Schizosaccharomyces pombe: one gene and its partners. The gene in region 4 interacts genetically with the main gene of each other region. Each region holds a gene or a part of one and is shown on either strand. Other genes may lie near its edges.

Region 1 (5,330 bases), on a different chromosome or scaffold from region 4:
CACCAACACCAAACTCTGGGTACAATCTTCACTGTACATTCGTGATTAAAGAATAATCGATTGTTGAGTGTTTAATATCAGTTGTTCAATTCAAAGGCATTCCCAAAGCAGGAGACAGTATTGTCTACATTAACAATGGCTTATCTTATTGATATACCATTTGAATACTTCTCTTCTTTCCTTGGAGTCCACCCGGATCAGCTCAAGTTACTGTTTTGTTTTCTTTCAGCATACCCGTTTGCCGGCATACTAAAAAGACTTCCTTCGGCTCCATGGATTAGAAACTTATTTTCAATAAGCATAGGTTTATTTTATCTCATTGGTGTTCATCATCTTTACGATGGCGTTTTAGTTTTGCTATTTGACGCTTTGTTCACATATTTCGTGGCCGCGTTTTATCGATCGTCACGAATGCCATGGATCATATTTATAGTAATCCTTGGCCATACATTTAGCAGCCATGTTATTCGGTACATTTACCCTTCAGAAAATACTGATATTACTGCTTCACAAATGGTACTATGTATGAAGCTTACAGCGTTTGCCTGGTCTGTTTACGACGGTCGTCTTCCTTCAAGTGAATTATCTTCTTATCAAAAAGACCGCGCGTTGAGAAAGATTCCTAATATCTTGTATTTCCTTGGATACGTATTTTTCTTTCCCTCATTACTTGTTGGTCCAGCTTTTGATTATGTTGATTACGAAAGGTTTATAACCCTTTCTATGTTTAAGCCTTTGGCTGATCCTTATGAAAAACAGATAACACCACACAGTTTGGAACCAGCCTTAGGTCGTTGCTGGCGAGGTCTGTTGTGGCTGATTTTATTTATTACCGGAAGCTCAATCTATCCTTTAAAGTTTCTACTTACACCTAAGTTTGCTTCCTCCCCTATTTTGCTAAAATATGGATACGTTTGCATAACTGCTTTTGTTGCAAGAATGAAATATTATGGCGCATGGGAACTTTCTGACGGTGCATGTATATTGTCAGGCATTGGTTATAATGGCCTGGATTCTTCTAAGCATCCTCGTTGGGATCGAGTGAAGAATATTGACCCTATTAAGTTCGAATTCGCAGATAATATCAAATGTGCTCTTGAGGCTTGGAACATGAATACCAATAAATGGCTTCGAAATTACGTTTATTTGAGAGTTGCAAAGAAGGGAAAGCGTCCAGGGTTCAAAAGTACGCTAAGCACATTCACTGTTAGTGCAATGTGGCATGGAGTTTCTGCTGGATATTATTTGACTTTTGTTTCCGCAGCCTTTATCCAAACAGTTGCAAAATACACGCGTCGCCATGTTCGCCCATTTTTCCTTAAACCAGATATGGAAACTCCTGGGCCTTTTAAGCGAGTCTATGATGTTATTGGTATGGTAGCAACAAACCTCTCTCTCTCCTATCTAATTATCTCTTTCCTTCTTTTGAATCTAAAAGAATCAATACACGTTTGGAAAGAGCTATATTTTATTGTGCATATATATATATTGATAGCTCTGGCTGTGTTCAATTCCCCAATAAGGTCGAAATTAGATAATAAGATACGATCCAGAGTCAACAGCTATAAACTAAAAAGTTACGAACAATCTATGAAATCCACTAGTGATACGGACATGTTAAATATGTCGGTGCCCAAAAGAGAAGATTTTGAAAATGATGAATGAAGGATTAATTTGCTATGAGGTAGCATCATATGCAATAAATTGAAGCATTTGAATATTTTGCAGCTTTGTTAACAGCAATTTCATCTTAATTGTTCATCATATACAATACCTTTCATGGCGGCAGTATATTCATTGTGTTTATATATATGTTTACATATTAAAGTAGTCTCTTAAATAAAATTCCTGAATGTTTTCTCTCAATTCAGTTTTTAAGTTTAACATCTAATTTCCTTTGATGATTTATTTTGGTTACAACATTATGAGAGTTTGAATTTATTTTGCTTTAGTATCTGGTAGTAGGTAACGTTGCTATATCTAGTACCTTAGTCCACTAAATTCAACACGAACGCGCTATAGAACTTGAGCGATTCTTATTAAAGAACTTTTTTGAGGGTATGAACTGAATGGAATTAGGCAAAAGCAAATTCTCTTGGAAGGACTTGCAATATTGTGATAAAGCAGGTACACAAAATTCACCGTTAAGGGTTGTAGCTCATATTGATCAGGATGCTTTTTACGCTCAAGTCGAAAGTGTTCGCCTAGGATTAGACCATTCAGTTCCCCTTGCTGTTCAACAATGGCAAGGGCTTATTGCTGTAAACTACGCAGCCCGTGCAGCGAATATTTCACGCCATGAAACAGTTACTGAAGCAAAAAAGAAATGTCCAGAGCTTTGTACCGCTCATGTAAAAACTTGGAAAGCTGGGGAGTCAGAGGCTAAGTACCATGAAAACCCAAATCCTAACTACTATAAAACCTGTTTAGATCCTTATCGGCACGAAAGCGTTAAGATTCTTAACATCATAAAGAAACATGCGCCTGTGGTTAAGAAGGCTAGTATTGACGAATGTTTTATTGAACTTACGAGTGATGTTAAACGGATTGTGTTGGAGGAATATCCTTACTTGAAAATTCCCTCTGAGGACTCAAATGTTGCTTTGCCGCAGGCTCCAGTGCTACTATGGCCTGCTGAGTTTGGAATGGTCATTGAAGAAGAAGTTGTAGATAGAACGAAAGAAGATTATGAAAGGGATTGGGATGATGTTTTTTTATTTTACGCTGCAAAAATCGTGAAAGAAATTCGCGATGATATATACTTGCAACTCAAATACACGTGCTCAGCAGGAGTTTCTTTTAACCCAATGCTTTCAAAGCTTGTCAGCTCGCGTAATAAACCAAACAAGCAAACTATTTTAACGAAAAATGCAATTCAAGATTATTTAGTGTCATTAAAGATTACTGATATAAGAATGCTGGGCGGAAAATTTGGAGAAGAAATAATTAATTTATTAGGAACAGATTCTATTAAGGATGTTTGGAATATGAGTATGGACTTTTTGATAGATAAGCTTGGTCAAACTAACGGTCCACTCGTTTGGAATTTGTGCCATGGAATTGATAACACTGAGATTACTACACAAGTTCAGATTAAATCAATGTTGTCGGCTAAAAATTTTTCTCAGCAAAAAGTGAAGTCTGAAGAAGATGCAATTAACTGGTTTCAAGTATTCGCATCTGATCTTCGATCACGATTCCTTGAACTTGAAGGAATGAGAAGGCCCAAGACCATTTGTTTGACTGTTGTATCAAGATTTCTGAGAAAGTCAAGGTCAAGTCAAATACCTATGAATGTTGATATTAGCACTCAGTTTATTGTTGAAGCAACATCCAAACTGTTGCGTCAACTGCAACAGGAATTCGATGTATATCCGATTTCAAACTTATCTATTAGCTTTCAAAACATCATAGAGGTTGATCGTAATTCTAGGGGAATTGAGGGTTTTTTAAAAAAGTCCAATGATGAAATCTACATGTCTACTTCTGTTTCACCTTCTATTGAGGGACGCGCTAAATTATTGAACGAAAATATGAGGGAAAATAATTCTTTTGAATTATCTTCGGAAAAAGATATAAAGTCACCTAAAAGGTTGAAAAGAGGTAAAGGTAAAGGGATTTTTGATATGCTACAACAGACCGCTGTTTCTAAACCAACGGAGAATTCAGCTGATGAAACTTACACGTGTGAAGAATGCGAACAGAAAATTACTTTATCCGAAAGAAATGAACATGAAGATTATCATATAGCTCTCTCCATTTCGAGAAAAGAACGCTATAATAACTTAGTACCGCCATCCCATGATAAACCTAAGCAAGTAAAGCCTAAAACATATGGAAGGAAAACCGGTAGCAAGCATTATGCACCTTTATCCGATGAAACAAACAACAAAAGAGCATTTTTGGACGCATTTTTAGGAAACGGTGGAAATCTGACACCAAATTGGAAAAAGCAAACGCCAAAAGCAATTTCCAACAGCTCAGACAACATGACCCAGTTACACTTAGATTTGGCTAATTCCACCGTAACTTGTTCAGAATGTTCTATGGAGTACAATTCAACGAGCGAAGAAGATATTTTGCTTCATTCTAGGTTTCATTCTCGGGTTCTAGGAGGTGTTACTGTGTCCTTTCAATGCTCTCCTATTTATCGCGTTAACTATGGTTTGAGTTCCGATTGCATATACAGCATAAATTCAGAAAGCTCATTAATTGATCAAAGAAAAGCAGAGGAAGCTTTATCTTTCGTAAATAACGAACTTTCAAGTGAGCCTATTGAAACAATTGGGGTAGATAAATATACCACATTTCTATTCATATCAGATAAGAAATGTGTCGGATTACTTCTGGCAGAGCGTATATCTTCTGCATACATAGTCGATGAACTTGAACTCAACAACAACAATAGCACCTCTTCCGCAGTATATATAAAAAACGAAAATCTACGAAAGGGGTTTGTATTGGGTATTTCCAGGATTTGGGTATCAGCTTCAAGACGCAAACAAGGGATAGCAAGTTTACTATTAGACAATGCTTTAAAAAAATTCATTTACGGTTACGTTATATCGCCTGCAGAAGTTGCTTTTAGTCAGCCTAGTGAAAGTGGTAAACAGTTCATTATTTCGTGGCATCGTTCTCGAAACAATGGTTCTTCGAAGTCACTTCGATATGCTGTTTATGAAAGTTGAAAATAGTCTGACAAAATTAAAGTTGTTCTAAATATCTATCTAAGCGTTATATAGAAGTTTTTTTTTTAAATTATTAATTAATCATTAATGAAAACCGTTTTGTTTAACGAAATGTTTGGCTTTGCCTAATGAATGATGCTTAAGGGCATCTATTACAACTGGGAACACTTCCTCTTTAACATCCTGGCCCCATAGAAAGTCAAGATGTTCATAATGAGCAATCTAACTTATATTAGCATATTGAGCAACAAACCTATAAAATAAAAGGCTTACCGAAACTTCCTTTGCATGGGGAGGAAGAGCAGTTCTCATTACTTCCATATTGATCAAAGTATCTTTACCTCCCCATAGTATCAGCATTGGGCATTTGATATTATTCGTAGGAAACAGAGGAACTTGGTAATGGCGTGAACCATATCCAGCTAGAAGAGCCATATCGTCGTCATAAAGCTGGAAAGTACAGTTTTTTATAATCTGAAGCCAGTGAACAACACTCTTTACACTTGAAAAAGAGTAAAGATGTGCATAACCGCAAAGTTTTTGATTAAGAGAAATGTTGGATAGGTCCCAGTTGAATAAAATTTTAAGGGATACATCGACAATTTTTACAAAAATTGGGGGATCTGTAGAGTAAGCAGATGA
Region 2 (7,244 bases), on a different chromosome or scaffold from region 4:
GTAACGAACGTGCTCCACCGCCTTTGTCGCATTTTATAGCGGGTGGGTAAGTGATTTGTAAATTTACGGGAAATGTCTTTCTAATATTCTTTAGAGTTGCAGGAATGTTAGGAGCGATTGCAACAGCACCTTTGGACGTAGTGAAGACGAGGTTGCAGTCTGACTTTTACAAAGACAGATTTTTGAAGCAAACGGCGAAATCGAAAAGTCCATTGACGGCTGCATATAGGCATTTTATGGATACATGTATAATATTAAAAAATGTAAAAGTTCATGAAGGAACAAGAGCACTATTTCGTGGCTTAGGTCCTAATTTAATAGGAACAATTCCTGCACGGTCAATTAACTTTTTTTCATATGGCAATGGCAAGCGTATATTGGCTGATCTCTTTAATAATGGTCAAGAGAACTCTCAAATACATCTAATGGCTGCTGCAATTGCAGGTGTAATTACTTCTGCTGCGACTAATCCAATATGGTTAGTAAAAACACGATTACAATTAGATAAAAAAAGTGGACAAGCTGCTCAGTATCGTTCTTCGATTGATTGCATCATAAAAACAATAAGGCTTGAAGGATTCCGAGGATTATATAAAGGTTTATCTGCCAGTTTACTAGGAGTCGGTGAAAGTACTCTCCAGTGGGTTCTATACGAAAAATTCAAGCACGCTGTCGCTATTCGACAACTTCGTCGAAAAGAACTTGGTATTCAAGAAACTATTTATGACAAAGTTTTAGATTGGGGTGGGAAGCTTGGAGGAGCTGGAATTGCTAAATTTATGGCAGCCGGCATTGCATATCCACATGAAGTTGTTCGAACACGTTTACGACAAAGTCCATCTATAAATGGTACTCCTAAATACACTGGACTCATACAATGCTTTAAATTAGTTTGGATGGAACAAGGGATTGTTGGACTGTACGGAGGTTTGACTGCACATTTACTACGAGTAGTTCCTAATGCTTGCATTCTTTTTGGAAGTTACGAAGTAATAATGCACTTCATTGGCTAGGTTTTCCAATGGCATGTTGACTATAAAACGGATCTACTAAAATTACCAGCTTGGAGAAGTGAGGAACCTATAGCAAAAGAGGATAATCATCACCTTTCCATTATTTTTTATATAATAATGCACATGAACAATTTTCCATTCGTACGGTTATGCTTAAAAGACTTATATGAATGTTAAATGCAAAAACTTTGGACTCCTATTTTTTTAACCAAAATTGCGTTTCAATTAATGATTTTCAGAAATTGTATTTATGATCTTTTGTCAATTTTTCTTTAACATGCTAAAACTTAAATTAAGTAATGAAGTTGACTATTTTTACTTCTTTATTAGTTAAAGGTAAGTATTTGTCTCAAATGGTTTTGAAAAATTTTGAATGAGTGGTTAAATCTCTCTTTGTTATCTTTACTCTGCATTTTGATACAAATTACGGCCCATAACAAAGCTTATTGAAGGTGTACGTTAAAAAACTTGTTGTGAATGATGGTTCTAAACGAGCGGACTAAATAGCTTTACCCCTTTCTTTTTTCATAACAATTCAAATCTAAATGGTCGGTGCGTTGATTTGCCATTAAAACAATAATATTATTGACATTTTAATATTATTTTGGATTCAAAAAAAATTTGTATTAACTAAGTTTCAAGTTATTCATTTACAGCAAATGTAGCCATATATCAACATTTTGTACAAATTTGATATGAATCATTCAAAAAGTTCGTTTGAGGTTCAATAATATGATTTTAAGATCTAAACTATTGTCGTTTCCTAACAAAATCATTATAAATTCTGCATATATCCCTTTTGCTATAGTTGAGGAACTCCTGTAGATTAACTATTCGTTAGAATAATGAGTGCAGTAATTCATCTATTTTAAACGGAATTAAGTAAGTATTTATATATAAAAATTAGTCTTATTATTCTTGGTCAATTTAACTCTTATATTTCACATATTGATTCTTACAGTAGTGGCACTGTTTAGGGTGTAGAGGTTGATCTAATCAACACTGAACAACATTTGCCATACTATGTGAAAACCGACATTTTCTCTCAGCCGTGATAAAAACTATCATATGAAATTTTACTATAAAAAAAGCATTGAATGCGATTTTCAATCGAGTATATAGATTGGGAATTAAGTCCTTGTGATCCAGCTTATGATTTCGTAGGGAAAGATTTGCCGACTGCAAATGAAGAGTTAACCACTGTTCCAGTTATTCGAGTTTTTGGATTGAATGAAGAAGCAGAAACTGTTTGCTGCTTTATCCACAACGTTTTCCCATATATTTATGTCGAATACTCTAGTTTTGCAGAAACGTTAGATCTTGAAGTTCCAGATTTTTTAAGCCAATTACAAACATCAATTAATTATGCTTTAGCATTAGCGGCAAGAGCAAATCCAGAAACTTACAAACCTGCTGTACAAAGCGTTCAGCTTGTGAAGGGAATTCCGTTTTATGGGTACTCCTTCTGTTTTCAGAAATTCTTAAAGATCTGTCTTTTTAGTCCGAAAAACAGAGATAGACTAGTCGATTTATTCAGGCAAGGTGCTATATTAAACAAAGTTATTCAAGTTTACGAATCCCATCTTCCTTACTTACTACAATTTATGGTCGATCATAATCTATATGGTTGTGCTCCAATAGATTTAGATGACTCCATTATAAAGAGAGACGATCTCTTGAGTTTTTGTAACGTCGAGGTTCACGTGTCTCCAAATGCTATTCTCAATGCCTGCTGGTTGAGTGAACGTAATATCCATACTGATTTATATGAAACTCATGCTTCAAGTCCAAATTCACTATTGGTAACTAGTTTAGCTGAAATTTGGAAATCGGAAGCTTCTCGGAGGAATTTAACCAGTAGCGATGAGACTAATAGTTTTTCTAAATTGCACCAAAGTCAGTTCGGTCTCAAAGAAGAGAGTAGCCATGAACCGCGAAGTTCCCAGCACTGGAAAAATGAAGTTGCCATGAAAGATCTGTTAAAAAACTTGATCAAAAGTAAATTAGAATCTTCTTCCGATGTCAATACTCCACTCATCTTTGATCCGTGGCCTGAGCTGCCTACCATTTATTCTGCAATCCACACCAAAGATTACGTACGCCCATCCCAAAATGATATTTCAGTTTCTCAAATATCTGTAGATGAGAAAATCTGTACTTCTTATGAAAGCCTGCCAAAGATTCAACTTGAACAAAACACTGCACCCGTCATAGAATCTTCTTTTGAACAACTGGACTCTGAGCTCGAGCGTATATTGGGAGATACACTTTTTGATTCATTTCCTTATGTAGAACCCAATGTTGATAGATCTAAATTTCCCAAAAGTCCTCTTAATTCTTCTCAAGAAGTTACCATTCACTCTTCACAAGATAGACAATCACCTCCCTCTTCGCCCTTAAAAGATGTACCTTCTCAAATAAATCCATTTTCCCCCAGCCTTAGATTAAAAGGGGGTTCACCCATAACTAAAAGGGAAATTGAATTTTGTCGAGATCTGCCGAATCGTCCCACCAGCTCTGAACCGAATCAAGGGGATACTAGAAAAGCAGGAAAGAGACTAAAATATTCTAGAAATCTTGATGATTATCATATTTGTACTCAAATTCCTGAAGACTACTCCCCAAAATTCTTATCTCAACATGAATCTTTTGTTTACAAACAACAACCTCCTTCGACGGATGATCTTTATGGGACTATGAAAAAATTGAAAATCCCATTTTCAATACCGACAAATGTTCACTATAGTTCGGAGAAGGACATTCCCTCTTACTCCCAAGAATATTTAGGAAAATCTCATTATCCGATCGGTGTTTCTTCTAGATATTTGCCAGAATTTCAATCAGATGGATCGGTAAGCGAAAAAGTTCGACTAAATCCACTTAAGCTTAGTAATTTTCACGGAGAACGGACGTGGCAATATATAAAACCTGCACCACTTGCTGTAGATTTATCAAATCTTGAATCGAAAGAAGCCGTTTCAGAGGAAATACAAAGCCCACAAAGGTTATCCAGAAGTAAGGTTTTTAGAAAAGATCCTTATTCATGTGTGCGCATCTTAGCGCTTGAATTGTTTTGCTGTAGCCATGGGGGATTGACCCCAGATCCCACTAAAGACTCTATAGAGTGTTGTTTCTGGGCATATCAAGAAGATGTAAACAGCAGTATGATTGACAGAGTTGGTTTTATTGTGGTCGACAAATCTGCGTCGAACTCTTCTTTTGGGCGAAGTTTTCCAAGCTGCACCGTTTTAGTTGTAAATTCCGAACTTGAACTTATTAATGAAGTTATAGGATTAAATCGCCAGCTTGATCCGACCATCGTATGTGGTTACGAAGTTCATAATAGCTCATGGGGTTATTTAATAGAACGAGCATCTTATCGATTTAATTATGACTTGCCTGAACAATTGTCCCGACTTAAGTGCACTTCGAAAGCAAATTTTGCAAAGAAAGAGAATGCATGGAAATATACAACTACTTCATCCATCAATATTGTGGGCCGGCATGTTTTGAATATATGGAGAATTCTCCGTGGTGAAGTTAATTTACTTAACTATTCCCTCGAAAATGTTGTTCTTAACATTTTTAAAAAGCAGACCCCTTATTATAATCAAGCTGATAAAGTGCATCTTTGGCAGAGCTCTCGTTTTCATGAGAAGCAAATCCTTTTAAATTATATGTTAAACAGGACTAGATATTGTTTGGAAATATTATCAGCCTGTGCCATTGTCACTAAAATTCGTGAACAAGCAAGAATTATCGGAATTGACTTCATGTCAGTAATTTCTAGGGGGTCCCAGTTTAAAGTTGAATCTATTATGTTTCGAATTGCAAAGCCTGAAAATTACATATTTCCATCACCTAGCGCTAAGCAAGTTGCTGAGCAAAATGCTTTAGAAGCGTTACCTCTTGTTATGGAGCCGAAGTCTGATTTATACAATAATCCGGTAGTTGTACTAGATTTTCAGTCACTATACCCCTCTATTATAATTGCATATAATCTTTGTTATTCCACATGTCTTGGACCTGTGAAAATAGTCAATGGAAAAGTTAAGCTTGGATTTATGTTTCATTCAAGCAATCCAAACATTGTGAATTTAATAAAAAATGATGTATATATCTCCCCTAATGGTTATGCATACGTTAAAGAGAATGTTAGAAAGTCTTTGCTCGCTAAAATGCTAGAGGAACTTATTGAAACCAGAAATATGGTGAAAAGAGGCATGAAAGATTGTGACTCGGACTATGTCAACAAAGTATTGAATAGTCGGCAACTGGCCCTAAAATTGATTGCAAACGTAACTTACGGATATACTTCAGCGTCATTTTCAGGAAGAATGCCGTGTTCAGAAATCGCAGATACTATTGTGGAAACAGGACGTGAGATACTTAGCTATTCACTAGAATACATAAATACTTTAGATTTTTGTCATGCAAAGGTCGTTTATGGTGATACCGATAGCTTATTTGTTGAATTACCTGGAGCGACTAAAGAGCAAGCTTTCGACATCGGACAGCAGCTAGCAAACAACATTACTTCCAGATTTCCTTCTCCAATTCGACTTAAATTTGAAAAAATTTACTTTCCTTGTTTCTTGTTAGCGAAAAAAAGATATGTAGGGTTCAAATTTGAATCAGTTAGTCAAAAAGCTCCAATTTTTGAAGCGAAAGGCATTGAGACAGTTCGAAGGGATGGTACTCCTGTTCAACAGCAGCTCCTTCGTCGTTGCCTTGAAATACTTTTTAAGACAAAGGATTTGTCAACGGTCAAAAAAGAATTTCAGAACGTATGTTATCAAATTATGAGTGGAAACGTTCCTGTTATGGATTTTTGTTTTTCAAAAGAAGTTCGTCTAGAAAAATATAAAGAATTAAGTACTGCTCCTCCTGGAGCAGTTATGGCTAGACGGTTGATGACCAAAGATCCTAGGAGGGAACCTCAATATGGAGAACGTGTTCCATATTTGATTATCGCTGCTGCTCCTGGTACCACCTTGGCGAACCGCTCAGTTGCACCCGAAGAATTTCTGTCTTCGAGTTTTTCTCAACTTGATATAAATTATTATATCAACAATAGTTTGATACCTCCATTAGATCGATTTCTAAACTTGTTAGGGGCTAGTGCCCAGTCATGGTATCATGAAATGCCCAAACCACGTACCAGTTTAAAATTGACTGAAACAGTGAAAGGAGGTATTCAAAAAAAGACTTTGGACACTTTTCTGATGGAGAAGCTTTGCTCTTCTTGCTTGAAGAATAATATTGAAATTATTCCTGATAAAATTAACTCCCTCTGCAGTGATTGCTTAAAAAATCCTTGTGCTACTATTTCTAAAGCTGTTACGCAGCACAATGCTTATAACAAAAAACTTTCCTTGCTATTTGATATTTGTCGAGGCTGCAGTAAGCTTTCATCTAGTGATCCAGTTCTTTGCAAGTCAAATAGCTGTAAGGTGTACTATGATAGGGCGAAAACTGAGAATTATGCGAAAGTACAGGCAGAAATGTTAACGAAGACTCTTGGTTCTTTAGACTGGTAAATCATTATAACTTCAAATATTGGTGTGAAGGACTTGAAATTAAAATACATCAGGCATTTGTTCTCTTATCACCTGCTAGTTTATTCATCTACGTATTATTTATTACAATTATTTATTTTTTTTAGAAGGTTATATCGATAACTAAAAATATTAATATCATCATGTTATTGGATTTTTTTTTTTTAGTTAAAATTTAGTAAACCTCTTCGTATTCTAGGGTGCGTAGCAATTCTTTATTTACTTTTTACTGTCCGCAATACTACGCTGTGATACTTTACGTCGCGTGTCACTATATGTCAAGTGCACTGTTTTGATTTATCAACTTGACATGATAAGTTATCAAGGTACGGTTACTAATTATGATAAAGTAACTATCACTTACTACATTCAAATTCTTAACACTATATATTGAGATAAACTGAAGTGAGGACGGGAATCGGTTTTTAGCTACGTTAGTGATAAGTAACAGATAATGTGTATTAGAATACTTACATCAATTGCTACTTATATTACCTCGTATTGCAATATAACAATCACAAGGAAGATTCAATACTGTTTTTAAGTATCGTTAAAATAGATACCGAAATACGTAGCTGATATTTGCGAGACAAATTACTTCGTAATTATCAAAATTCGTACGGGACACGGATGTCGTAGTTTTGAAACAGAACCAATTTCTATAGTAAGAACG
Region 3 (7,897 bases), on a different chromosome or scaffold from region 4:
TTTTCACGCGAACAAACCCAACTTTTGTATTAGACTTTTCTAATTTTTGCTTATAAACCTCTTCAATAAACTCAACAATCCAACTCTGAAATTCGGGCTGAATGATTGGAGGTAAATGACTTTTAATGTGCCATGAAACAACTGTCTGTGGTTCTTCATTTGTAGCTGAAAAATTTGCTGCCACCATTTTTCCTCCATAATTAACGGAATCCATCCATAAAAGATAATCCCAGTATTCCGTGACATTTAGATCCAAAAAGTGAAATAGTGGTAACGTCTTAATGGATTTGAGTAAATAATTTGAATAAGTGACAGCGTTCTGGACGATTAATTTGCTCGTTTTGATTAATATTTTATTAGCAGAAGCGTGTATGATATGTGCTCCAAGGCGTTTTATCTCAGAGAGAAGTTGTAAAAAAGTTTTTCTCATTATAACTTCCACGTGCGAGGAGAGTAAAGGACTGTACAGATAAGATTTTGATGAAGAAATCCATCGGGCTAAATGTTGAATTATAAGATCAGCGAGATTATTACCGGATGCAGCTTCGTTCCACCAAGTTTTAACCAACGCCTTCAACACCGGCAATGAATGTGTCAGTCCAATATTATCATGTATTCCCAACTTTTCCTCCAGATCATCATTTATGGCGGTCATGTAATTATCATTCAAAGCTGCCATGTCGCCAATACCTTCTATGTCATTTATGAGAGCAGAATTGAGAATGCTACAAAGTGCAAGGTTGGAAAGAGAAATGTCAACACAAGCATTTGAATAAGCACCAGGATTGTTAACTTCTAGTGGATCTTTGGGACTGGCAATCTGCAGAATACTATCCTTCTCAATACCACCTAAGTCTGGAGTTGGGCCTTTATTCCACCAAAGGATAATATTATGTTCTTTCAGCTTTCTAGAGTAAACAACATCGATACTGTACTGAATGTCATCGCTTTCAAAGTTGCATAATGGGATATCTGAGAAGCGAGAAAGTTGTATGCGATGGAAAAGCCAGCTACCAATAGCTAAGAAATGTTGGATCATTTTCGTAGCAATGTGTTGTTTCCAAGAAAGAGACTGTATGTTGCTCTCAAGCCGTGGTATCATTATATACGGAAGCTCTTCAATTTGCTTCACATTTGCCTTCAATATGTGAGGGAGTGAACTTTCAATAATAAGCAGACTATTTTTAGTTTTAGTTGAAAAATATTGAAGCAACTTTTCATCTATCAGTTTGTACGCTTTCCTTTCGTTTCCCGAGAAAATGACATTACACGAAAGAGTATCAGGGTATTCGATACTACTTTCCTTAATTAAATTATCAAATTTCGACCGTAGCTCTTCGTAAATTTTGCTGATTGATGGGAAAGACATATCACTACCTGGCAGTTTGTCATAAATTATGGCCTCAACTTTTTTTAAATGTGGCATAAAAAGTGAAAAAACAAACCTATTACTAATGGAAAAATGGAATGCATAAAGGTAGTTCATCTCTACTCCATCAAGATAGGAAACATCGTTATCACTTGGGTCAGTGAACATTTTAGATTCAAATCCAAATTCGAAGCCTTTACCTAACGCTCCAGGTACTGAATTATTAAACCTTTTTCTGGATCCCATTTCTAATATCAATCTTTCAATTGGTTCTATACGAGTCTCATATATTCCACTAACAGACGGATGGGCAAAAATCATAGAAATTGATACCTTTTCCGTTAAATAGCTCTTTTCTGGAATTTCAAGTAAAAAAAGCTTATCCGAAGTGCTTCCATGCGGTAATATCGCATTGCTTTTTTCAATTAAGCATCCCTCAATTTCAACATTCGGTAAAGTCTCATCTTTGAAACATACAAAAAACTTTCTATTCACAATGAACCGTATCGAGGTCAACCGATTACGAATAATTACCCAAGCATGTAAAATACCAGGAACATCGGTTTCTCGTATTTGTAAAATATGCCATAAATTTTCAAACATAACTTCAGCAGAAGATTGTAAAACATTGGTGAATTGCCTTGATTGAAACCCAATTAAATGTCTTCTTCGAAGCTTGACCTGCTTCTGATATTTCCACTTTTTCTTAGCATACTTAAGCCAATTCGAATATCCATCCATAAAGGATACAGGTTTTACTTCAAAAGATACAGGTGCTTCCGAGTTCCCAGATTGTTGTAAAAGTTTACGCTTGGTAACTCGAGCGACAATACGCTTATCTTTGTGAGTCACACTTCCTAAATCCTCAATATCAGTAACTTTTGTGTTGTTTATTGTGGATGGATTTGTAGGGGCTAAGGAGAAAATGGAATCGATCTTTTTCTGTTGGTATTTAGAATTCAAGACAGCAACTCGTTTTTGAAGCCAGTCCGGCAATGGAAAACGGGTAACGGGGTTTGAAATCCTTTGGAGAGCAGCAGGGATGCTAATTAGTTTTTGTACTACTGATCCTAGACGTTTCAAATAATAATCCCAATCAATAATGTCTCTAATATCAACATCATATAGACCATTATCTTTCAACCAGAGCCTAAGAAAATGTCGCTTAACAGATTCTTCAGCAAAGAAAATAGCTACCGGTACTGCCCTTTCTGCAACTGGCCTTCCTTTTGGACTTGCGGAAATAATAAAACGACATGCTAGACCTTTGTCTTTGGTCATTTGATCACCCAAAAAGTCAGCCAGTCGCCTGGCTGTAGTAATGGATGTCGATTTTTGGCTTCCGTATTCAGACAAAGCTTTAGACATACTACGATTCTCAGAAATCAGTTCAATTAATTCATCATCTGTTAGGTTAGAGCCTTTGGTGAATAGAATCTCTAACCAAGTGTCAGCAACATAGGCAACTTCTTGATAGCATTCCTCTAAAGAATCACCTTTCAAAAAAACTTTAAATATCTGAGATTGAAAATCCTTAATGAGCTTCAATTCTCCTCTTCTTTTCACCTCAAAGCCTTTAAGTTCAGCTAAACTACCATCGAAATTGAAAACGGCATAACGCTTTTTTAAGTTTTTACCTTCTTCCGTTGAAGCAGGCAAAATCATAGCTCTATAAGGACCATCAACCTCAAAAAAAATGCTGTTTTCACTAGTTGTTTCATACACCAATTTCTCTGGGTCCTTTAAGGCAGAATATTGATGATTGGTGAACTTTTCATGAACCAGGTGATTTAACATAACGCATGGATAAGAGATAAAAACCTTTCCTCCGGATTTCTTTTTAAATTCAAAGTTTTCAGGAAACGATTCTGGAAGAATACACCAAATACCATCTGTGTCAAGTTCCAATGGCCTACCTGCACGTTCAACTATTTGACGAGCCATCTGAATAATCGTAGCGCCTGTCAAACATGTGATACCAGCCATTTCAATCGAATACCAACGGGAGCCTTTTCGCATGACATATCCATAGAAAGAGTTTAAAATAACTTTGTGAGCTAACTGTAAAGAATCGTAGAGTACGACCATCTTTTTGGCCTCCTCTATTTCAGCAAGTCCTCCTTTTTCCTTTATAGCAGCAAGTTGTTTGACCCATTTTTTTTGCAATCCTTTAAAGTCATAACGGCGATCCCTAAAGCTTTTTACCGTATCAATATAAAATGAGTTTTCCTTTTGACAAATTATAGTTTCCCTTTCGATAACGGTATTATCATATAGACGGTGATACACTTTACGGCTGTAATCCGCAATGCGCTTTTGCACCATAGCAGCTTGTTCTGAGGGAGAAAGCTCTTGAAATGACCTAAAAGGTGAGAAAGGGGTAGGGCCTGGAAAACGCTCAGATTGTAAAGCAGAATATATCATATGATATTCACCTTTTTTAGCAGGGTAATACTCCCCTCTCCATGCCCATACCATCCGACGATCACATGTCTTATTGGGCACATTAAGATCGCATGTTGCACAAAACGATTCATCTTTTACTGAATCTGGCTGTAACCGGTTGGTAATCATAATATTTGGGTACATTGAGGCGACATCAAGATGGTAAATCCTTGGCTTCTCCGACCTTTTTGGTCGATCACGAAGGTCACTTAGTTTCTTTAATATGCTGTCTCTAACCTCTTCATAATTTTCGATTTCATCAACATTGACGTTGTTTTCAACTGTTAAAGAAAAATCTAAGGCTTTGTCCAACTGTAAAATTAGTTCTTCATAAACTTTTGGATCCATGTTGAAATTAGTCGGCAAGTCGCTTCTAAAAACACCACTTTCAAGACTTTCAACATGTCCTCCAACATAAGTCTCACTTGCAAGTAAATGACCGTCGAAAAATTTTTGACTAGCATCAACATGTTTATTCGGAAGAATAATATTTTTTGTACAAGCCTCAACAGTTAAAAGCGTTTCACACAACGTACCCGTGCCTTTACGTAAAACTTCATCAGGATTTAATGGGATAATGTTACAAAGAGAAAAAATGAAAGGATGCACATATTTCATGTAAAGAAAATAAGTAGCAACAGCATCTGAAACTGAATATTGAGCAAGAACTTGAGGTTTTTCACTTGCATAAGGAGTCATCAATTCTGGATCTAGTTCGATAGGATTATAACCTAATTTACTGACAGTGACAGCTTTGAGACCTTGACTTCCTTGAGGTAAATAACTATCTCTCTTTACCCACCGGAAGGCATCCATATGACTACAATAAGAAGACTTATATTCATCCTCTGCGTCCCTGAAGAAACCAGTTTCTTCTGTTAAATTCAATCCGTGAAATGCAGCACGTGCGTCTACAAATGGCCAGTCAAAGAAGTCACCATTGTATGTAACTATTACTGAAGGCTTTGCAGACCTTATATGTTTAAAGAATCGATGAAGTAGGCCAACTTCATCAGGCTCATTAAAAATAATAAATGGGCCCTCAAATTCCTCCCTCGGAGTATAATGAAAATCTTCAATATTCTGGGAAATAATTTCTCTATTGGTAATTAAAAATCCTTGGCCATCAATCATATAAGATATCATCATTATTTTATCGAACGAGCTATCAGGAAACTTCAATGGCAGCTTAGTGGTTTCAATATCAAAAGCCATTATAGTAGGTTCTGCACGCTCGATTCGGGAAGCTAAAAGGGATATTTGAACATGGCCTTCATGATATGAAACAGTATACCATTGTCCGACTCGAATATTCAAATCAATAAGTGTACGAGAATGATACGGAACATCGTACTCACGGATATCTAAAACATGATTTAAAGGATCTTCAAATGCGTTTTCTATAATCCCGTTTAAATTCTCCGAAGACAAGTTAGTGTATGCATCAACGGCATCTTGTTGGGAAGAATTAGCTTTCACAGCAGACATCAAAGACTTCCTGACAGCCTGAAGGTCATTCAGGTTATCAAAAACCAACTTTATATACAACTTTTGGTAACCCACTATGTGGTTTTTTAGCTGTAAATCTTCTTTAAAGATACGCGTAGTAGATTTAATTAAGCCCACAAATTTTTTTTTTAAATAATCGTCAACCAAAGCTTCTTTACCTTCTCGAGCAGCAATGTAGAAGTAAGGAGAGTATGGAATGGTACACCGGAAAGTGTCACCATCGTCTTGAATGAAGTAAAAGTCAACGGCACTGAGGGTAGAATTGCCTTTGGTGCTTTCGATTACTGTTGGATGAACGTTGAGAAGCCAAGCTTCTCGTGGTTGTCCACCTTCATAGCTATCAAAACCCATCATTCGATCAATCTCATTCTTTTTGTAGACAATTTTCATAGGATCATTGAAGCCAACTTCCTCGGTTGATTTTGCAAACGTCCTACCGTTCGATTTACTTTTTCCATTGTAGTTACCATTAAATTTCCTAAACTGATATTTGGATGCTCCTCGAGCTGTTTTTAAGGGCATAGCAATACAAAATAAATATTAAAAAAAGAAAGTAAAAAGAGACCGACAGTTTAGTAATTTCCGATTGTTACCAGAGAATTCTAAATTAATAAATGGAATAGTATTAAGAAGAAACTTCTTCTATTGTACAAACATTAGGTATCCTTTTAAATGTGATATAGTGGTTTGGATTAATACCGAGTTAAGAGGCAACAAATTGGTAAACAACAAGTCGCGTCGCGTCGACAACTTGCAAATTATTTTGGGTATCATGTTCCAGTTCAAAGCATTACAATTTATTTATTTTTGCCATAAAATAAAGACAAAGTACAAAAAAATACAAAATTTAGTATACATTAGCCTAATGATCGTGTGTTTCGACCGTAAGTAATTATTTCAAATCGATATTGCTTCCTTTAAGGATTGAATTTAAAGAAAAAAAAAAAAAAAAAAAAAGCAGTTTTCTTTTAGAGAAGCATGGTGACGCGGTTTCTGCTTTCAGTGATATAAATTGTCAAAGCTTGGTTATTTTGGCGAAATATACTATCATAAATGGAAAAGTTTATATTAATTCAAAGAAAAAAATATTGTCTGATTGCTGAAGTACAGGATTAAAGACCCCGCCATAGTAAAAAAACTTAGTAGTGCTTAATTCAATCAGTTTGATACCTTATATTTACCTCTATTCCACCATTAACTGAAAAAGCTTAAACGAATCAGTAACTATGAGTACACCAAATGAACCCGAAAAACCTGGGATTATTGACGCTTTCAAGGTAGAATTTATAGCTTAAAAAGGACTAGTTTGTTGTAAATGCAAGGAATGCTAATACTACTTGTAGTCATTGAAGATGAGTGATTTTGCTCACATGGTACACCATCCTTGTTTTAAGGAATCATTAATCACCAGTGTCGTCTGTGGTCTAGGTGTTGGTTGCATCCATTTGTTTCTTCGAGGTACGAAAAAAAACATTATGCTGGTTAATTGATGTCCGTCAAAAAAAATCGCATGTCTTTTAATTTTCGGACCAACTTTTTAAAACGGTGATTTCAATCCGTTGTTTAATAAGCGGTTTAAATTCTTGCCGACACATGCTAACAATATTCAAGCACCTATTTCTAGAGCTGCTAATTGGGGGTTCGGAACTTATTTTGGAATGAGCATCGTCTCTTGGGAAGGGTGTAATTACCGCAAGCAGCTTGAAACTAATAACTTCAACATTAAAATTACAGAAGCAGCAGAAAAGACCCCGAAGCATCGCTCTTCAAGGTCCGCTCAAGAAATTGATGAAGGTTTTAACGAGTAATTGCATTCATTTGATTCTTTAGGTTCTACTTATTCTTAAGCTCTTTTCATCCCTCTATTGCATGGTATGCTGAGTTTTTCATTTGATCGATTAACTCTTATTCAATTAATATTTTAAATTTGAGTTCATCGGAATGGTTTGTCATTTTTAAATGGTATTCATTGAAGAGTGTGAATTATCACCAAAGAATCCAATGTTGAATTTTTAACTGCCTCGAAGAATTCAATCTTTTTAGGGTGCCATTACAATGGGTGGAATACATACTCTTGGTATCTTGAACGTTGTATTAACAGCAAAAAAGTCTTAAAAATATACAGCATCCACATTTTCCCAATATTAACTAAACAATGGTAGACTTTTTGTTCGTTATTTACTTTATAAGTACTAGCTCATCTCAATCTTTCGTGCGTGTATGTTTACCCCTTTATCGTAAAGTCAGTCTACGACCTTGCGAGGGCATCGCATGATTTCAGCTAAAAACTTTCCAAAATAAAAGTAACAAGACCTTTATGGTGGTTTATTTCTACTAACTGGATGAATAAGCTATGTGATATTTTTGAATGTAAATATGTATTCTTTACGACAATTTTTGTACGATTGGCTAGAAAAAACATTAAAATCAAGTATTTGCAGTCCCATCGTCATTCTTGTTTATTATTTTTTAACAAAGTAGTTTAATCAGGGTAATTTCTTTATTTATAATTATCATCGATGAGATATACTGTTTTTAGGAGGAAAGTTAGTGGCACTTCAGTCGTTTATTAAA
Region 4 (4,018 bases):
AAGGGCAAATTATTTTCTAAGTATTTGCTTTTCTGTTTCGGTAGTGGTTAGTTTAATCGGTTTGCTCGGTGTGTGGCAGAAATTGTTACCAAAATCAAATGTTTACTCTGTGTCATCATCTTCATTTGCTAGAACGTTTGGCTTTGCCTCCTTGGCCGTTGCAGAAATCCTGTTGTTTATTTACTGGACTTCTTTGTCCATCTTCCAATTTGGCGCATACGCTGCTGGCGTCGCAATCATGTGCGGAATCGCTGCTAAAAGTCTTTAAATCGGCCTATCCTTACAATCTTTGAGTTTGACGATGACTTTACAATTGACGTTGACATTTATGTAATATTTTTCAGTACCGCAATGTTATTTTGTAAAATAGCATGGTTACTTTATCTAAAAATAGTTGTCTTTGACATTCTTTCTCTAAAAGTTTTACTTGGTCTATACAAACTGTCAAATACTTTTACCATAAGCTAGTTGCGCAATGATTCGCAATCCAAAACTTATTTAATGTTGCTTTAAGGTCAAGATTAATAAATTTTATTCCAAGAAATATGTGTCTAATGTGTTTGATTTTCTTTTTTTGATTGTAGGATTTGCAGTATGATCGGTATTGATCAAGGATTTAACTGTTTCGACATTTAAGCAAAGGTCGACATGTTGGTTCAGTATACCTAATTCGTTTTCAATATTTTTCTGGCAAACGGGACAAGGAACGGTATTCTGGCTTTGGAATTTCTAGTAATAATTAGCATATTGCTAGCAGTATATTTGCTTGACTTACAAGTTGCATGGCCAAACAACGCGATTTACTAACCAGCTTTGTTGCTCTGACTCCTAATAAACGAATAGTCATAGGGTAAGATTGACGCAACAATTGCAAAGCTGGTTTCAATAAATCAGATTCTGAATGAATGAATTGACCTATGCTCTTTTGCTTGGTATGAACTTGAAATTCGCTTGTTTTATACTTTATAGCGATCGAGTTTGTGACTAATCCGCGCTTTTGTAAATTTTCAGATACATTTTGTACAAGAAGTCTGAGCTTGTACTCGATTATTGACGGAGAACTAAGATTGCTGGAAAATGTAGCTTCAGACCCAATTGTTTTTCGTTTGCTCTCACCGTATTCGTCTAAAATTGTAGTTCCAAATCCATAGCTACATCTCAACAAGTTTTGGAAACTTTTAGGTAAAAAGATATAAGATAAAATCACCAAATTTCTTTGAATATCCCCACACGTCTTAATTTCCAAACCAAGTAATTGCTGCTCTAAAACTCTACCAATACCAGAAACCTGTAATGTTAAAGAATGCTTAACCAGATATAGAAAGACTGCTTACCTCTCTAACAGGCAAGTCATTCATGAATTTTGAAATCCCAATCTCGTCAAATGGGATAAAAAACTGATTATTTGGTTTTCTCTTATTGCTTGCAATTTTGGCTAACAACTTGTTTGCTGCAATACCACAACTGACTGTAACTCCTGTTTCTTCATGCACTTGTTTCCTGATTTTCTCAACCACCATCGTTATGTTTTCTACAGTAAATGCAAGCTCTTGGAGACGTAAATGTGAAGTCAAGTTCATATAAAATTCATCAATGCTTGCAGGACACAAATTCGAATCATACTGAGCAAGCACATTCTGAATTTCTTTAGATTTTATTGCATATTCAGAAAGATTTAACGGAATTACAACTAGATCAGGACAAATCTTTCTAGCAATAAATTCTGGCATCGCTGATCGAACTCCAAACTTTCTGGCCACATAATTAGCAGTACCTTATTCAGCATTAGTTTCAGTCAGATTCGAATACTTACACAAAACACTCTTCCCGACTGCCATTGGTAAAGACTTAAGTTTTGGATTCTTAAGTTCCTCTATTGATGCATAAAACGCATCACAATCAACATGAACAATTATTTGGGTCAAATCTCGTTTAGCCCTAAAATCCTCAACAGTAGTATCCACACTTTCTTGTCTAATGGTCCACTCTCTTTGAAACGCTTTATCAAACCTTAATTTTGATTGGTATTTTTCTACCTCAACTTGAACCTTTTCTATTCTTAAACGAAGTTCTCGGTCTCGTTTTTGTTCGGCTTCAAAAAACTTACTTCCTTTGGAAGCTTCGTAAATTATCTCGTTAATCTTTTTTTGATTAACATTTTCCTGTCCTGACTTGAGAACAGAAGGGCCTGCCAATCGTCGTTTTAAAGTAGCTTCTTCATCTGAACTACTGCTACCATCATCTTCAATGGTAAGTAATCCATTCTCCTTTATTGTTTCTCCTATAAAATCTTTTGCATTTTCCATCCGTCAAAAAACATTAAGGCGAATAGTTTTCAAAATACTAGAATTTGAATTAGTACAAAGATGTGTTTGTGTTTTGGCGCGTCGCGTCTGTAATCTATCACCTTCTAGCGATTACGCAGTAGAGTATATCATTATTTGTATTATGCATATCCCACAACATCGGTATTTTTTGGAAATTTGAATTTGTATTAACAATTTAAAACATAACAAAAAGAAGCCTAAAGAATCTTGCATGTGCGTTTTACACTATTCATCTTATAGACTTCTAATCTTAGTCCCATAGTTCATGAAACACTTAACTCAAAATCACAGCTACCTCAACAATGTAACAAAAAAAAAAAAAAAAACATTACCTCCATCTAACCAGGTCATTGTCATCAAATTACAATCTTTTCGTTTTCCTAAAGAAATTGGAATCAAGTACTATCTTTAATGCTTCAGTGTCCTCTGCTTCTCTGCCTTTTCAACAATCTTTTGCTCTACCAATAAGCCTTTCCTTTTTCGAACGTTCAGCATATAGCGCTTAGCAATATTTTCGCGATCGGCTAACTCGCCTAAATCTTCCAATTCCTCCTCAGTAGTTGGAACCCAAAAGGGATTCTCGTCTAGCATCTCAAAACCATGGAAGATTAATTGAGGATAGGCAGCACCAGATGTCCTTTTCAAAATTTCTACAGCGAATCCAAAGGATTCAACAACTGGAATCAAGGCTTTTACAATAAAAAATGGAGTCCCTTCCTTCATTTCTTCATCAATTACTCGTCCTCGTCGCTTCGAAACAACACCATATACCCTACCCAAGACTTCAGATGTGGCCTGAACATCGCAAGAATACATGGCTAGCATAAGTCTCGGTGACCAACCTAAAAATCCATGTCTAATAGACTCTTTCACTACCGAAATAACTTGACCGGGGATTTGGGGATTATTGATGGTAAGTAACTTACTATCTTCCGAGTCATCAGATATGTCAAACTGATCGATTGACACACAAATGCCTTGAACGGGTTCAGCACACAATGGTCCCTGGTGCGTTATTAGTTGAAATGCAGTAACTACATATTCAGAAAGGTCTGAGGGTATTAATTTTGTTTCATCGCTTTGTCGTCGAAAATCTCTCATCTTCTTGGTTTTGTCAAAAAGTATATTAGGACCCACTCGTTTGGGGCCAAACGCAATGATACTAGTATTGTTAGTAATCAACCAATAGAACACTAGTATAACCTACCTATCCAAATGATTTTTCAGCTCGCCTAAGTCAGAGTTCTCTTCCTCTAAAAGCTTGGAAAGCCTTTCATAAAACTTCTCAGGAGTCAACACTTCCTCCATACTTTTTGTTAAAGATTCCGAGACAACAACGTTTCTATTTTTCTTTGAAAAATTGCTGCTAACATTTTCAATTGTTTTAGAGTGCTTCAGCAGAAAATCTACGACAGACCCAGAAAGAGGTGTTACTGTAATTCCAATCGTAACTCCGCCAACTGGTAACGTTGCAGTGACAAAGCCAATACTCAGTTCTTTATTTTTTGCTAATAAGTCGGGTGTAGCTATGGTAGTTTCCCGATATGGCACAAGTGGCTGAGATGCTTGTATTTCAATTTTTGCAAACCGTTCCCTAAGGTCTTTTAAACATCTTTCCAAATGAATCTCTCCGGCACACATAATTACATGCTCTCCATTTTCTTCAACGGCTATTTGAACACATGGATCGG

The links.
Region 1: of kpa1 (region 4) and eso1, changing one enhances a phenotype caused by changing the other (phenotypic enhancement), as found in Schizosaccharomyces pombe (one study listed by BioGRID).
Region 2: of kpa1 (region 4) and rev3, changing one enhances a phenotype caused by changing the other (phenotypic enhancement), as found in Schizosaccharomyces pombe (one study listed by BioGRID).
Region 3: of kpa1 (region 4) and cdc20, changing one suppresses a phenotype caused by changing the other (phenotypic suppression), as found in Schizosaccharomyces pombe (one study listed by BioGRID).

Annotation. Positions count from the first base shown.
Region 1 is NC_003423.3:4,276,331-4,281,660, reverse strand, and holds eso1 (mitotic cohesin N-acetyltransferase/DNA polymerase eta Eso1 fusion protein), read left to right. Parts: upstream 1-2,007; 5' UTR 2,008-2,069; coding exon 2,070-4,688; 3' UTR 4,689-4,772; downstream 4,773-5,330. Other genes in the region: ale1 (MBOAT family O-acyltransferase), read left to right, coding at 136-1,665; SPOM_SPBC16A3.12C (triglyceride lipase-cholesterol esterase), read right to left, coding at 4,773-4,910, 4,962-5,311. UniProt on the Schizosaccharomyces pombe protein: Probable acetyltransferase required for the establishment of sister chromatid cohesion and couple the processes of cohesion and DNA replication to ensure that only sister chromatids become paired together.
Region 2 is NC_003424.3:3,127,768-3,135,011, forward strand, and holds rev3 (DNA polymerase zeta catalytic subunit Rev3), read left to right. Parts: upstream 1-2,021; 5' UTR 2,022-2,110; coding exon 2,111-6,553; 3' UTR 6,554-6,725; downstream 6,726-7,244. Other genes in the region: rim2 (mitochondrial pyrimidine nucleotide transporter), read left to right, coding at 1-46, 95-1,013. UniProt on the Schizosaccharomyces pombe protein: Nonessential DNA polymerase. Required for DNA damage induced mutagenesis. Involved in DNA repair, mitochondrial DNA repair and translesion synthesis. Has a role in the bypass of abasic (AP) sites.
Region 3 is NC_003423.3:3,251,837-3,259,733, reverse strand, and holds the start of cdc20 (DNA polymerase epsilon catalytic subunit Pol2), read right to left. Parts: upstream 6,013-7,897; 5' UTR 5,846-6,012; coding exon 1-5,845. Other genes in the region: respiratory chain complex IV assembly protein Cox20, read left to right, coding at 6,550-6,600, 6,667-6,781, 6,935-7,131. UniProt on the Schizosaccharomyces pombe protein: DNA polymerase II participates in chromosomal DNA replication.
Region 4 is NC_003421.2:291,732-295,749, reverse strand, and holds kpa1 (DinB-like DNA repair polymerase kappa), read right to left. Parts: upstream 2,375-4,018; 5' UTR 2,307-2,374; coding exon 1,814-2,306; intron 1,775-1,813; coding exon 1,335-1,774; intron 1,289-1,334; coding exon 776-1,288; exon of another isoform or gene 730-775; coding exon 532-729; 3' UTR 503-531; downstream 1-502. Other genes in the region: oligosaccharyltransferase delta subunit Swp1, read left to right, coding at 1-268; GTPase Ria1, read right to left, coding at 2,736-3,489, 3,535-4,018. UniProt on the Schizosaccharomyces pombe protein: DNA polymerase specifically involved in DNA repair. Plays an important role in translesion synthesis, where the normal high-fidelity DNA polymerases cannot proceed and DNA synthesis stalls. Has a role in meiosis.